Lonchura striata: one gene and its partner. The protein of the gene in region 1 interacts with the protein of each later gene in a biochemical or structural test. Links are inferred from orthologs where the notes say so. Each region holds a gene or a part of one and is shown in the gene's direction. Other genes may lie near its edges.

The links. The genes of interacting proteins can lie anywhere in the genome.
Region 2: of the proteins of SYK (region 1) and FLT3, one has a biochemical effect on the other in vitro, tested with the Homo sapiens proteins (2 studies listed by IntAct, with this or other methods). The link is inferred for Lonchura striata from reciprocal best matches to the Homo sapiens genes SYK and FLT3.

What each region holds. Positions count from the first base shown.
Region 1 is NC_134642.1:7,797,375-7,805,347, reverse strand, and holds the start of SYK (tyrosine-protein kinase SYK), read left to right. Parts: upstream 1-4,952; 5' UTR 4,953-5,060; intron 5,061-6,395; 5' UTR 6,396-6,457; coding exon 6,458-6,480; intron 6,481-7,973. UniProt on the Homo sapiens protein: Non-receptor tyrosine kinase which mediates signal transduction downstream of a variety of transmembrane receptors including classical immunoreceptors like the B-cell receptor (BCR).
Region 2 is NC_134604.1:68,999,683-69,007,661, forward strand, and holds the start of FLT3 (receptor-type tyrosine-protein kinase FLT3), read left to right. Parts: upstream 1-4,883; 5' UTR 4,884-4,958; coding exon 4,959-5,013; intron 5,014-7,979. UniProt on the Homo sapiens protein: Tyrosine-protein kinase that acts as a cell-surface receptor for the cytokine FLT3LG and regulates differentiation, proliferation and survival of hematopoietic progenitor cells and of dendritic cells.

The sequences.
Region 1 (7,973 bases):
GTTGAGGCCATGATGTTGCTAGTGTAAAATCCACTTACCTCCGACTCTCAAGAGACAAGTTTCATCAAATGGAAGTGGCTTTTTGATATCCTGACATAGCAATTATCCATAGAGGCAATCACCAGTGGACCATTTAGAGATGGAGCTGCTGATGCTGTGCAGAGAACAGGACACCATCAAAAAAGAGGCCCCTTTTTCCAGCCTGGCAGTTTGTCATGCAAGAGACAGGGAAATACTGCCTATTGGCCCAGAACACACTGAGGCCAGGTGCATCCTCTTGCTACCCAGAGTGATAAATTTGCCTTATCAAGAGTATTCAGTTGGTCCAGGGGTTGCTAATGGGCTTACTTTTTAGGATGGGAAGAGTGGGCACATATCTCTCTCTGTGTATAGTGTTTCTGGAACATTCTATGTTTTATATGAGAGGAGAGGGTAGGTTTCAGTTTGTTTGCTGGTTAAAATTAGTTCCTGCCTGTTAAGAGACTGTTCTGTCTTTATATCAATGAGAAGTTTTTTCTGTGCTGCTTGTTCTGATGATAAAGGCTGATATGGGGAGAGATACAGACTTAGTCTTTTCTAAATGGCTGATGCACTAATGAAGAGTCTGTTTTGCAAAGCAGTCTGTCTTTTATGATACCTGTGTCCTCATAAAACATAGTCAGGAAGAGCTGGTGCAATTGTTGGATTATAGTATTTTTCAAGAAAAGCATTCCTTTCCTAACAAAAACTCTGTTAAATAAAGAATGCTTTACTGCAGGAGTGTTGAGGCACTTGAACTGGTTGCCCAGAGAACTTGTAAATGCCCCTGGCAGTCTTCAAGGCCAGACTGGATGGGGTTCTGAGAAACTTGGTCAGGGGGAACGTATTTCTTCCTGTAACAGGGGGTTTGGAAGTAAGTGATCTTTCAGGTTCCTTCTAACCTGAACAATGCTATGCTTCTATATTTCTAATTATTAGATAGATTTTAAGAAAGATTTTTACTGTTGTCAGCCTGGCTATGTGAGCTAGTATCACATCTTCCTTTCAAAAAACAGAAATGCTTGACCTTTTTTCCCATACCTCTGTGGGTGTCAATTCTTTGTGAGTGTAATTTCCATTAAGAGATGGTGCTTACAGTGTGTCTGTGGCAGAACATTTACCTGGCCTGTGCTCCTAGCAGAAGCTTTTCAAAAAATAAGAAAACATGGCATGGTTTTTATAGACTCTAGAATGTAGCACTGGGAAGGCTTGCCCAGTTTTATAGAAGCTTGCCTATTCTAGGAGTATGACAGGCAAGTTGTTTTTGTTCCTACAGTAATTTCTGTGCTTTCTATATAAAGAAGAATACTGCAGACTGTTTCAGATGGCAAAATAACCTTGGTCTGAAAGAGGAACCTGCCTCATTTTACCACTCTGACTCATGGAGCCAGTCCATTGAGGCATCTGTTCAGCAAAGGTTTTAGCAATTACAAAGATGGACCAATAAATTTCAGATAAGGAATGAAGTGTAATGGGGTCCAAGTGTTCTTGCTTAACAGTAAGTGAAGGCTAATATTCATGGCTGAGAAACTGAGACAATTTATATATCCATAGCCTCTAGACTTGGAACTGAGTAGAGACAGACCTGAACAAAGAAGAGGAGTTAATCCCTGCATAATAACTTTGGAAATGCCAGCCTGCCACAATTACTGATTTTTAAAAAGTCTAATGAAGACACTTGTTGGAATGTAAAATAAACCTATCTTGTGGAACCGCAGTGATGTTTATCTGAAACTTTGAATGAAATGTGGCATTTTGTCTTAGTCCTGTAAGGCTATAAAACTTTGAGGCTGTTGTAATAATGTTGAATTTCTCCTGGATTTTTTTTTTTTAATGGATGAAGCTTTTCATTCACTTTCCATTTGGTTATAGCAACTTGCTTCTATAATTCATGATCTTTAGTTCTGAGATGTCTTGCCAGCAAATTTGATAGAAATGTCAGAAGGAAGGAAAAACAAAGTTATGGCTTGTGGATCCATCCACAATTGGATGCTGGTCCTTCTGGAAGCCAGCCTTTCTCAGATCTTATGGTAAAGAAAATTTACAGTATCATCAGCTCTCTGCCCAAGGCACTCTTTTGTGTGTGTTTGGAAATTGGACAGATATTCCAGGTTTTGACTTCCTGGAAAAAGATGAATGTTTTGAATCAATGTTTTTGGTGTAGCACTCTGATAGATCTTTTTCTGGCTACTTCTTTCTGAATTGTGAAAAATAATAGACCATGGTGAACCTTGAAAGAAGATTTTGGGACTGGGAGAAAATTTAGTGATAGTTAGATGTGTTTTGTTTTACTGTGCCATCACTGTCTTGTCCATAACAGTTTTGTTATTGCTGTCTCTGTGAAAACTCTTTTGTAAAAATGAAAATGTATTCCACTTGGCAACATGCTACACTGTCATATTTAATGTCACTGTAACTTGGACCCTGAAAATATGCAGGCCATTGGCTAAGCTGTTCAATCTCTTTTTAGTGGTTTCAGTGATTTCTTGCAAGAAAGATTATAATTTTTTTGTTTTGCTCTTCATGTATTTTCACTGACTTTGTACGCTCATTTCACAGCTCTCTCCATGCAATCATAGTGTGATCTATGGCATGCAAAGGAGTTTTACTTTTTACTGTAATTCTGGGAAGTAAATACATGTTTGAAACAAAACCATAAAGGAACAATGCATATATGTATATATACGTGTGTGTGTGTGTGTGTATGTATATACATTTATGTATGTCTCAGTAGCTCCTGAAGGGAGATAGTTGGGGCTCTCTGAGTAAGACTTTTGTAACTGCATCCCAACACAGGCTTTTTTTTTTTCCTTTTTCTTTTTTATTCCCCCCTCCACCAGCATTTGGAAGATACAATTATACCTGCAATTGTACAATTATACCTGTACTATTCTGCAGTCACTACAGTGGCACAGCTGATCTTAGTGAAGATATGTCTGTGCCCAAAGAAGTTTGCTCACATCTTATCACAGCAGGAAAATGGGAGATTAGACAGGGATCTGCCTGCAGTATCTGAAATGCTTTCCTGCAGATTTACCTCATCCCAGTGGTTCCATTATTTATACGGTGGTTTAATAGGGACAAATCACAGTTGAGTATTTTGTCCCCATAGAAATGATGCCACCCATTTTATGTCTGAAATTCTTGATTTGATGAGAGACATGTTTGGCGAGAGGCAGTGTTTGTATTTGTGACAGTGTAAGAGTGGAAATAGATATAAGGGAATTTAAAAGGAGAAAAAATTGTTTGGGGTTTTTTGGTTGGTTTTTTTCTATTTTTAATATGTGTGAAAATCATAGGATTTTTTACTTCCAGGGAAAGAATTACTGCAATCCATAAACACCTATTTTTTTTTTTTTTAATTCTTTCACAGTAGCATGCTGAGCTTTATAAAAGACCAAAGCAGAAAAACTTCATTAGAGGAAAACTATGGCATATGAAAAGATTACCAAAGACATGAGAATCCCAAAAGAAAGGTGTATAAGAGAAACAATAGATTCCTAGCATCAGTGAAGAATGTTTTTTTTAGTGATGAATGCTCCTTCATGAGCTCAGGTCAGAAGCTTTTATAGAAAAGCCCTAAAGAGAACATGAATGCTCTGGTACTTTTTCTAAGCATCTGTTTGCCTTGTAATAGGGCAGTAATTGTGTTGACAGGTCAAGTAGTTTTTCCTCAGGAAATATTTCAGCAGCTAGAGTGCCTGGAGTAGTCTGATGATATCAGAATGTCAGATGCAATTTTGAGTAAATGAGGGCATTTCTGGGATGTTTCAATAGAGAAAAAAAAAATATCTATCTGTCCGCAGTATTGATTAAGATGACTCCAGAAAGTAAATCTATAGGAAAATATTTTATAAAATCCAATTTTTTGAAGCTCCTGAGGCTTTTAGGTGTGTTTGTGATATTCCTTTTTAGTTCATTTTATGAATGACTCCTTAATATAGTTGGTAGTAGATGAAATACCAATGCCACCTGTTTAGTAGGCACATGCTTGTTCTGATATGGCCAAAATGCTGAGGATTTACATGAATGAGGGCAAAAACTCTTTCGTCTTAAGCTGAGAAAGAGGCTAGCTAGGCCACTAACTTTCATAATAATGATAAAACATTAACCTGTTAATTAACAAACTGGACAATCCTAAAGCTCAGTGATCATATTTTTAGATCCAGGTTTTGAATTTCCCATCAGACAAGTGTTCTGGTCCAAAGCTACCATGTTCCCTATTTTTCCCAGACAGATTTTAATTGAGCTATGTTTCTGTAAAAGAATACATTGCAGTATTTAAAAACCTTAGCAGAAACACCGTTGTCACCCTAAAAGCATCACAATATAAAATAAAAAGCAAAAATATCTGAAAGAAAGAAAATGCTTCTGAAACCGAACTGTTAAAGTAAAATATGGAACTTGACACCATAGAGGTTCTAAGGAAAGAGCCCAGTGTTGAAGAAATAATAAAAATTTGACAACATGTACTTGCTAGCATTATTGTCAGAATGAATTGACAATATGAACATATAACAATATGAAACTTGCTAAAAACTAGCACATGCTTTCTGTATCTGTCAGCACTGGGAAGGAGCATCTGTGGAATAACAGCAAAGTCTTTGAAGATGAAAAAGGCATTTTTAGAGTCTGAAGTACAAGTCAAAAAGCAGAGCAGTATAGCTTAGATTGTTAGTAAAATGTTGCAGAGCTCAGAGATGAGTGTTTGGTTGTATGAGGAAAACTTTTCATGGAGAAGCTGGAGAAAACACATGGAGAAGGAGGCCCAAGCATGAGTGATGGAAATGTTGCTGCAGGCTGTAAGCTGATTGGAGCACAGCAGGTGCAGACTGAGACACAGTGCCCTGAGCATCAGTACTCAGCAAGGGCACTTCCCTGAGGAATGCCAGAACTCAAGGAAATATAAGTGTCACTTTTTCCTTCTAGACACATCCCCTTCAGTGTGATGAGTGGGACTTTGTTTGAAGATATCTACAAAAGTTGCAAAATCACCAGTATTACCAGTTGAACTACACCGGATTTCAAATGTTTCTCAGTAGGTCAGTAAATTCACTCTAGTGCCCTGATCAAACTCTAATTTGTTTGAATTACTTTATAAAATTATATTCTGTTGTATTTCCCTGCCTTGACTTCCTTTTAGACACTTGCTGTTTTCTTCCTTTGTTTCTGCGTAATTTGCTCATAAAAACTCCTTTCCTAAGGTGTAGATAGAAATTAAATTTTCATGTTTATACAAAAAGGTAAAGGAGGCATGTAGAGGTAATCTGATGATCAAATTAAGACCATCGTTCAGCTATCTACACACACTGGAACGTGATTTTAAGGATGCAAAAATAAGAATAGAACAGTAATTCAAATCCATTTTCTTTGTTAAACTTCTTCAGATTTAGTTTTTTAAAAGTGAGGTAGTTGCAATGGATTTATAATACTTCAGTGCCAATTATTTCAAAGTGTGCATTAGTTTGGAGTATACCTTTAAGGTTCTCCTGAAACCATGAAACTATAAAAATATTTAATATAGTATATCAAGTCACCATCAAAAGTGTATTTATGATTCTATGCATACTGAATTTCTTCTAGTTTTCAGATGAGTTACATAAGTTGAAAATATGGTGAAGAATCTTAAAAAACTTGTGCTGCTTTTCTCAGAGGCACACATCTTGATTCCAAGAATCCTAATTAAATAGGATCTTCAGAAAACTGTACATTCATATTATTCTTTTTTTATTAATGTTTTCCAGGGTATAATTAGAGAACTGTTGAAGTTCTTAAACTTCAAGTGGTACTTAAAATATCACCCAGTTCTAGAACAAATTGTTTCAATAAGCATATTTTCATCATTTGACACTGTCTAGTGTGCCTTATATGTATGTATGCATGCAAGACATTTACTTTAAACCTTACTTCTTTATTTTCATACCCTGCTCACAGAATACTACTTTGGAAAACAAGAAAAGGTGAAAAAATAGCTGCCTAAATAAGGAGCATTTTTTTGGCACACTATTTCACCACTACATGGCTTTTGATCTTTGTCACATTTCAGTCATCTTATCCATGAAGGAATAAACTAATCAATCAGAAATTCCTAAGTCTCTCACCATTATACTGTTTGGTCTTTTTAGAAAAATTCATATTCCTATTTATATTTTTTTTAATGTTAGAAGGGAGATAGTACCTTAGTAATATTATAATATTTGCTAAGCAAACTTTTCAATATAGTAATTATTCTCCCTTTGTTCTTGTCTAAATATTAGATTAAATAGAATTAAGCTAAGTTTTGCAGTGTGGTTAGCAGAGATTTTTTTTCTAACACCTTCCAGGTGAGTTTTCCTTCATTTTGCTCATCTGTTCTGAGAGAATGTTTTGCTTCCTAGTATGCATGAAATGTGTGAGGTACTAAACTCTTGTGCTATGGCAGAAGTACCCTGCAGAGCTGATGAGGAAGCTGCCTGAGAGGAAGTGAGTACTTAATTTTCTTATGTGTTTGTGTAATATTTTTCTTTCACGTAGGATACGCCTGATATTTGCATGCATTTGTAGCTTCCTTAAAAGTCATATTTAGCGACCAAGGGGAGAGTTGCACTTAAGACCCTCTGTGGCTGTTATGCTCAAGTGCCTCTCTTGGGTAGCCAGCCACACTTCCTTCAGCACTCAGGAGGGTGAAGCCTTACATTCAACCTTAGGGGTCAAATCTCCATTTCACAGCTTCATGTTTGTAACTGCACTGGCTTGAAAACACTGCACTCTTTGTGCACCTGGAAAAACTTAGAGGAGGAGAAAACTCTGAATTCAAGCATTTTCTTCTATTCCTTTACTGATCCCAGAAGGGTATTGCACTCCCAAAACAAAGGCAAGATTTTGAAATTCCAAATGAAGAGAATAGCCATCCCAAATTCAGACATTCTTCCAAAATTGTTAAGTAGTTTTTAATCATTATCTAAAGTTTTTTTGTGATTATTTGCCTCTATGCATGCCCAGGAGATGCTGCATCACTCCAAATATTTCCTACCATTGCTAAACACTAAATATTCTTCACATATTGGAAAGTGGGGTAGAAAACCTGGCCTGAAATAGACCAACGGTAACATATTTTGTGAAAGTAAATCAGGCCATTGTTTTCTGAAACAGATATAAATAAATAATTTGTAAAATATTAGAGATCATCAGAATCCTGCTGCTGTTCTTTTCATAACTGAGAAATATTCTTCTTGTTTTGGAAACCTGTTATACACCAGACCTCCTCATTCTGAAGATTTAACAAACAGTCCCTCACCAGTGCCATCACTGACATTTCATCTAAATTGAAACCAGTGGATTTCCCCCTGCCCTTCTGCCTTTTAAGAACTTTTTGTTCCTGAAGAGTTTGTAGAAAACATTGAGATTAATAAGAGACAAAAAATACTCTGGAGAATAGCCTGATTTGAAACACATTATAGTCAAAGTGAATTTAAATTTCAGTAGTCCTAAAGTTTTTTTGTAGACAGGGATGATGTGTTCACCCCCTCTAACCTTGTCTCCCACCCCACTTTTATTAGCTGTTATTTTCATTCTGAAGTTTTTTATCTTTTTTAAGTCTGAAACTAGAAGCATGGCAAAAATTAACTTTAATGAATTACATTAATTAAAATAAATTTCTACAGATGAAGATTGTGGTGATATTTTTCTGCTTGATACATGTTCAGTATGTATTACTGAGGTGTTTTGAGCAGGCAGTGCAGTACCATTCTTGGCATGAGGCACAATATGGGATTATTTCTTCCTTTTCTGCAAGTTGTACATTGCTGGTGAAGAGCCAGTGTTGATCATTCATGCATCCAAATTCTTTCCTTACTAAAAACCTAATAGTAAATCTGTTTTCTTCCATCTTTCCTGAAAGTGGTATTGAAGACTTAGAGCCTGCCTTCCAGCACAATTTTGCTAGAAGTTGGGTGATGTATATTCATCTCCTAACC
Region 2 (7,979 bases), on another chromosome or scaffold:
TTTCACCTTCTCTTCATTTCTGTTCACTATATACAAGGATGTGGCCTGAAGACTGACCAGCAGGAAGTGAGTGTCCATATGGGAGCCTGACACCTTCTCATTAATCATGTGTTCCCCTCTGGATTCTGATTTTAATTGCTTGTTCCCGCTGGTCAGCCAAAATGCTGAGGAGGACCACAGACCGTTCTCTGTCTGCTTCAGCTTGCTCCCCTGCTTCATGTAGTGCATGGGGATGTACTATGCATTCCTGCAAAGGAGTGATTGATGATGTTACCTCTTTCACAAAACTAGGTCGCCTGATCACCACAACTGGCACCTGTGTGGAGAGTGTTGCTGTACTTTGCATGAAATTCAGGAAGCAAGAGGAAGGCAAAAGAGATTGATACCCCTGGGTCTTGTCCCACTTTGTAGTTAAGTGATAACTGTGGTGTGCTTTTTGACCCAGAAAGGAGGAAATACCACTTGTATGCATGCCTGCAGCCATGGCCAAGTGACAGAGTGTCACTCTTATGAGCTGTGCCAGAAAGGCAGAACCAAACATTATGAGATGAAAAATCGAGGTGGGGGAGGGAAACCTTGGGAAGGAAACATCTGCCAAGAGCTCTTTTTTTCCAGCCAAATCAGCTTGCAAGTGCCAAGCAACTCCCCCCTAACATTTGAACCATTCTTGAGAAAGCCATGTTTGCTATTGAGTGTGACACCGTCTCTTTGTATCAACCCAGAATTAACTTATTTATTAAATCATGTGGAAACAGATCCTTAAGTGCAGGCTGGCATCAGATAATGCAAATGAATAGCAATACTTTTTAAGGGAAAGAGTTACTGTAGCTGACTTTTTTTTTAAGGTCTAGGTGAGACAAGTTTTGTAGGTAGGAATCTTGTTTAACCAAATAGTTGGAAAAGGTAATGTGTGAACGCTGGGTTTTTTCCAACAGTACCAGCTGGGTCTATTAGAAGATACTATCTCTACTTACAAAACTGGCCTTAGTATTGCTGAAACAGATCAAAGGAAATACTTCTAAACAAAGTTTGCACATAATCCAAATTTACCTTTTAAAGTCTATCATTATAGTATATAATTAAGGAAAAAAACGGATGTGATCAGGGTCTACAGTAATATTAGAAAGAATTTAGCATTTATGAATTTTTCATAATTGCTAATAATTATTTTTTTTTTTTTTCAAATAAAGCCTAATACTTCAGGCTATATACCAGCTACTGTCTGAAGTCAGAGGGAGATTGCCACTCTTGAGGAGGTTATTCCACAAAATTATCTGCCTTTGAAATATTTGAGGATTACTAACATGGCAGTCAGGATATTGGACTGCATGCAGTGACCTGCTGTGGCAATACCCATGGGTCCCTAACTGGGCAGTTGTCTTTACTAAGAGTATCGAAGAAACCAGGTGTTGCTCCTAACCAGACTCCTGTTCATGTGCAAAAAGAAATTCATTTCAACTCAGTGAAGTTTTGAATTCAAATCAAGTCACAAATCAGGAGTTGACCCTGAAGTGCTCTTCCTAACACCTACATTAATAATGTATGCTAAACCTTATATTAATAATGTATGGGGGGAGGTCTTAGCCCTAAGCTAGAATTAAAATTAGTACGAGCACTAAAATACAAGTCTAGTTTCACTGTGCTGGTAATCCAATCGTATGGTTCAGCTAGAGAATTTCTTACCATGGTGCTGCTCCCACTGGCTTAGGCTTTATCTGCTTGTTGCAGTGAAGGCCAACCAGGATGGATAAGCTGGATAAAACACTTGATAACAGAAACCATTTTCTCATGGTGGAAAAAAGCCCTGCTTACTCATAGAATGCTTTGCTATTGTATACATGTGTATGATACATTAATTGAACCCTTTTGGACCCCAGTCCAGCATCTTTAGGAATAAGTTAATATGGCAGAACTTATAAATATACTTTGGCTTAGTCCAGTAGATGTGAACTCTCCTAGCTGGATCTTTCACAGAAGCTTTTACACTGAAAACCTGACATATATGTTAAGGCTTCTGATACCAGATCAGCTGAATCACCAGCAACCGATTTTCATTATTAAACAGTAGTTTCTCCTTGTCAGAATCACAAAAAAGCAAAATATCTTCAATGGAATCCTAGCAGCTACCAGTGCTGAGTGCATCAGATGGAAGAAAAAACAAAGCACTTGCCAATTTTAAATCAGAGGACAAGAATCCACTTGCCTAGTACATATGTAAGTGTTTAGACAGGTCTTTGTCAGGCTACCCTACCAACAGTGAGCGCTCAGTGGCTGGGATAGATGTCTGTTATTTTCAGAACAGAAGTACAAACTGTCTACCCCTGTTTTCTGAGGGCAAAACCTCTATATATGTGTAGGGTTGAAAGGGGTACAGGAAAGTACAAAACGCATAATTTGTAAAGATGTTGAACTGATTTGGTCTCCCAAACCAATCCCTAAGGAACACCACTTGTCACTGCTCTCCACTTGGACATGAAGCCATTGACCACAATTCCTTGAATTAACCATCCATCCAATTCCTTGTCCACCAATTGGCGCCTCTGTCAAATTCGTATCTGTCCAGTTTAGACACAAAGTTTCATGAAGGACAGTGGACAATTCTTTGCGTAAGTCCAGGTAAATTATGTCAGGCATTCTTCCCTCTCACCAAAGCTGTAACCCCATCATAGAAAGCCACCAGATTTGCCAGGTGCCATTTGCCCTTAGTGAAGTCATGCTGACTGTCACCAGTCACCACCTTATTTTCTATGTGCCTTCTTATAGTTTCTAGGGGAATTTGCTCCAAGATCTTGACAGACAGCAAAACTGACTACACTGCTCTGTAGTTCCTTAGGTTTTTTTTTTTTTCCCTAAAGATGGTAAAGGATTGGGGTATCTGGTAAGGGAGTGAAATGGCTGGGGCTGTTTAGCCTGTAGAAGAGAAGGCTTGGGGGGAGCCTTATCAATGTGTATAAATATCTGATGGGGGAGCCCAACTCATTTCAGTGACAGAACCACCTGCAATGTGCACAAACTGTAAAAGAGGAAGTTCACTCTGAATATCAAGAAACATTTTTATACTGTGAGGTTGTTTAAGTGCTGAATAGATTGCCAGGAAAAGTTGTGGACTCTCCATCTCTGTTGGTATTTAAAACTGTACTGGATGTGCCCCGGGGCAGCCTGTGCTAGCTGATCATGTTTTGAGTATAGCACTGGACTAGGCAATCTTCAGAGGTGCCTTGATACCTCATTCATGCTTAGGGTCTGTGTACCAGTGTGGGCAGTGGAAAAAAAAGGGGCAACCTACCAGCCAAGAAAGCTTGTTGTCAGCATGGTATTTTCCTGTTTGCATCAATTTCTTTAAAGCCTATGGAATCCTATGCTTCTTTTTCTCATTTTTGCATCCTTGCAAATATGTACCTCCCTAATTTTCATATAATTTCAGCTCCTTCCTCTGCACTGCAAAACACACAAACTTGTGTTGAGCACCACAGTACAATGGTACTGACTCATTCAGTGTGTCTAAGGCAGTCTTGTGAGAGATCATACAGTCATATCATGAACAATGCTGGCCTCTGTGCCCCATTGCCTCTGCAGTTGCCTTCAGGATGTTTTATGTGTCTTCTTTTAGCTATGGTATGTCTGTCTAGTTCTGATTAATCTACTTTTTTTTTTTTTATTTCCCTAATGCAGAAGGCAGATATCAATAAAAAAATCTAAATATAGTCTCTGAGATGTTTCTGAGAACACTTTACCAATACTGAGTTTATTTGTTTAGGGATTCTTTTTATCCAGGTTCTGAACAATTGCAGAATCATTGCTCAGCCCTTGGCAAGTAAAAATAACAACTGAATGAATAAAAAATACCATTTTATATATAAAATACAACAGCCAAGCAAATAATAAAAATCCCCCAGTCTGTCCTGGGGAATCATAGAGGGGAAGCTCAAGCTTAATCCTTAGAACTGGGACTGATTTGTGCTTGGTGACTGTGATGCACAGCTGTGCAAGGCAGGGAGATCTGTCTGCCCCTCTGCAATGTCCTGTTCTGGTACAAATCAGTGGGGCTTGCTGGCCCCAGCAAGTTCTCCTACACCTGGAGCAGTTCCACCTCTTACACACCAACAACCTGGAGCCGATGAGGAGGCAGCTCCTGAAGCACTATGCTCCAAGGAAGGTGGCAAGCAGGGACAGGCTAAGGGCAGAGGGATGCTGCCTCTACAGGTTTGCATTTCAGCCTGGAGGCCTTTGTTTTCATCCCCTAGACAAGTAATCTGTGTAACAGCTTCAGAACAGCTGTGGCTTGCTTTGAACCTTCCTGCAAACAGTGCTAGTTCCCTGTTCCCCCTGGTATAAGCACAGCCCCATGCCACAGGCCCACTCCCTGCCTTGGTGGCAGCCCCCAGGATCTTGGAGGTGACCGCAGCAGGTCCTCTCTCACCAGCAGAGCAGAGGCTCACCAAGCATGGGAAACCTCCGTCGGCCCACCACGACAGATGTGGTGGGGTATTCCCATGGTGTTGCACGAACTTAATTTGGATTTTTTTTTTTGAGCTCTTCAGCTTGGCAAAACACTTGCTCTTCCCCTCATCAGGACTTGTAGAAATTATGCTAACTGCCAGTGTGTGAAAGCAGAAATTGTAACTGCTTCAAAAATAAGAGTTGAAGTGAGACAGCACAAATTTACAGGAGAAAATATGTCTTAGTAAGCATGAGCAAAGGACTTGAGACTGAGCAGCTGAAGTGGAGGCAGCTGCTCAGCTTGGTGGAGGCATCCTGTGACAGAAGGAAGATGCTCCCCGACCCCCAGAGAGGCCCCTCTTCTCCACGTCCCACAGCCGTTTCCTTGTGGCTCAGGTCTCGAGCCCTCTCATTTGAAGAAGTGGTTTCACTCTGGGCAGTGACATGCACCCTTAAGGCAACCACCTGCAGGCTCAGTTTCACTTGTGGGGCCAGGGCACTGCAGGGCGCCACCAGCAATGACAGCGAGTTGGCCCCACAGCTGCTCCACTAGAGCTCCATTTCATCTCGCAGGTGAGGTCTTCTCATCACACTCCTCAGGCCCTTTCATCTCCATTCCCCACTCTCACTGCACCCCTTCACATCTTTCCTTTCTCCTTTGATTTCTTCTTCTCTTGAATCTTTTATTTTCTGTCTCACCTTTCTTCTCTCTTCTGGAGATGCTCTTCTTTCTCCCATCACCCTAATCTCTCCCAGCCCAGCCCAGCTTTTTCTCTTACTGCATCTGACACATTTTATTCTCAAGGCAAAAAGTATTTAAATTACTGATTTTTTTTTTGTTCTCTTTCTTCTGATGTAAATGTATTTCCTGCTGTTAGTGCTAGCTTGACCTGAGCACTTTAAATAATATACCTGCAATTTCCCACATAAATAATCTATGAATCAGATACCTTAGTAGAGTGAAATATAATGATGTATCATTATCTTTTCAGGTTTTGTTGTTTTTGTTTAATGATCTAAATTGAAGAAAACATGATATTAATATATAGAAAGTACTCTTTGCTTACTGTTAGAGTGAAGTGTTTTGGAATTTAAAGCTTGATATCCTCTACTGAAAATCAGCCCAGCAATTAGCTGTTAAGAAAAAAGGAAATAGCATTTGCTTCCATCTCAAATGCCTGAAACTGTTTTTCTCTAAAATTAATGGCTTGTTCCTATCTAAAATGATCTTGCTGATTCAAAATCCAGGACTGGGTGCATGTTTTTCTCCTGATATAGTTCTAGTACATACCTGAGAAAGTTTTTTAACAACCTGTGGTCCATTTTCAGCTCCATATACAGAGATAATAATACTTACTTCAAAGAGAAATTGTTAGATATTATTCAGTTATGGTTGAAAGTCTACATGAGCTATTTGAAGAGAAGGTGGAGTAAAAATGAAAATTAATACTTTATGATCTTGTGCTTTGCATGATTGCTGATACTACTAAGCAAACCCTGTCAAGGAGGGATTTCTGTGTTTTCTTCTTTGACTGAGTTTTGCTATTTTGCAGGCTGCCTAACAAAACAAATAAAAATTACTAGCATCTGAAATGTAATGGTGCCCAAAGACCTGTCAGTGTGGGTAAGAGACATTTGTGCAGAGAGGCAAAAAGGTGTGAGAGCCCCAAGATATGATTATTCTCTAGGAGGACTGCTGTTCTTTCTGCTGAGATATTATTTAGTCAAGGCAAGGTGCACAGGGAGGCAGTGTTTCTTCTCATAAGGCTGGCTATTATAGGAGAAAAAGTGCTTTTGGACATACAAAGCAGTTAGGATCTGAAGCATCAGAGACAGACTTAACAGCAAAAATCCTGAGAACTGCTAGTTCCATATATGTCTCTAACAGATCACTCTTAAAAACAATTTTGATGTAAATAATGTGAAGCATTCAATAAATTATATACAATCTCTTAAAAATACCCGTGTCCCCTTTGAGAATCTGTTTTCTGATTGAGATAATATTGAGTAATAAATTGTGCAGACAACAGATGGTATCCATATGATGAACCAGTGTCATCAGAAATGGCAGCACTTAACCAGCAAAGGAAAGCTAAAGAATAATAACACCTGGAGGAAAATCTCCACAGTATCTTTAGACTTAAGGCAGCAGGTCAGTCTTAAAATTACAGGCTCAGAACTGCAAAAGTTTCAAGAAAGAACAAGCATCTTGCCTGTGTTATTTGTGAATAAATGCTCCCCAGCAGCAAGAAATTTAATCCCAAGAACTTCAGAAAACAATATACACAATACTATATATGTAAATACACCTATATACATTAAAAACACTATTCCAGTTTCTCATCTTACATTCTTCTGGTCATCCCAAACAAGAGTTTGTGGCTAAAGGGAATGTTATCTAGCATACAATTAGCCTTGCATTAGTGGATGGGGCAGGGATGGGGCCTGGGAACAGATGCAGTAGTAGTTTCGTGTTTTACAAATTGAAGAATTTTGTAAAAAGAAACATTCAGTGACCTTTCTCATCAGAGAAAGTTTTCCACTGACAACCACTCCTGCATCCTTTTTTTTAGTTGCACCCCTTTCTTACTGAGAGATGTTCATAAAACCCAGTTTCAGGGCACCTGAGAGAAATGAAGATATGAGAAGCTGCCTAAGATCTCCCTGTGGCTGGCAAATGAGAGGAAACATATATGAGCAAGGACTGCAAACTCAGATTCCAACAAGGTCCAGATTAGATTATGGTGTGTCTGACTGCACAAAAATTATAGAGTAGTACTGTTGAAAATTCCCTCACAGAACATATAAGTGTCCATTAAATTCCTATGACAGAGATCGTGGAAAATATGAGGTGGGCCAGCATGTTTCTTTTAGAGGAGAACCCAGAAATGTGTGGGACCCAGCCACCTGCAGGATCTGTTAAACTCACAGAAAATTGGATTTCTCTCCAACAAAACAGCTGACAAACATTCCAGAGCAAGTTAAGGCACTGAGCCCTGCCACTGGCAGGAAGGTGAAATCAATGAGCACCCCAGGGGGAACCAAGTTTGATCTTGTCTCTTTCCCAAAACATGCAAAAACTTGGGTGCAAGCTGGTTTTGAGTATTGGATAAGGCCAGTACATTGTCTGTTCACTCAGGGAAACTGTTGTGCCCAGCAGACCACATATTCATGGTCATCCATCACCATATATTTCATGGATCAGAAGATAAGGTATCACTTCTGAAGATTCCCGAAGGTGAAAGGACTGTGCAGGAAAATAGTTGTTTTCCGATGAAGTAAATGCAACTTAAAACTCTGGGTGTTTTGTGTCTTTTGAGGTTTGGGGCCATTTGCTTTTCCCTTTCTTCAGAAAATTCCTCTGGTTATCCATATTTCAATGTACTGAGAAGCTGGAAGATGCCCAGAGTGCAGCCCAACTTCCAGGGCTGCCCCACATCTCTGCCCAGTGTTGGGTGGATGCTGCTGTTGTGGCTGCTCAGCAGAGGAAGGTTTGTCAGCAAAGCAGAGCTGTGGGCATCCTGTCCTGCTGCAGGAGC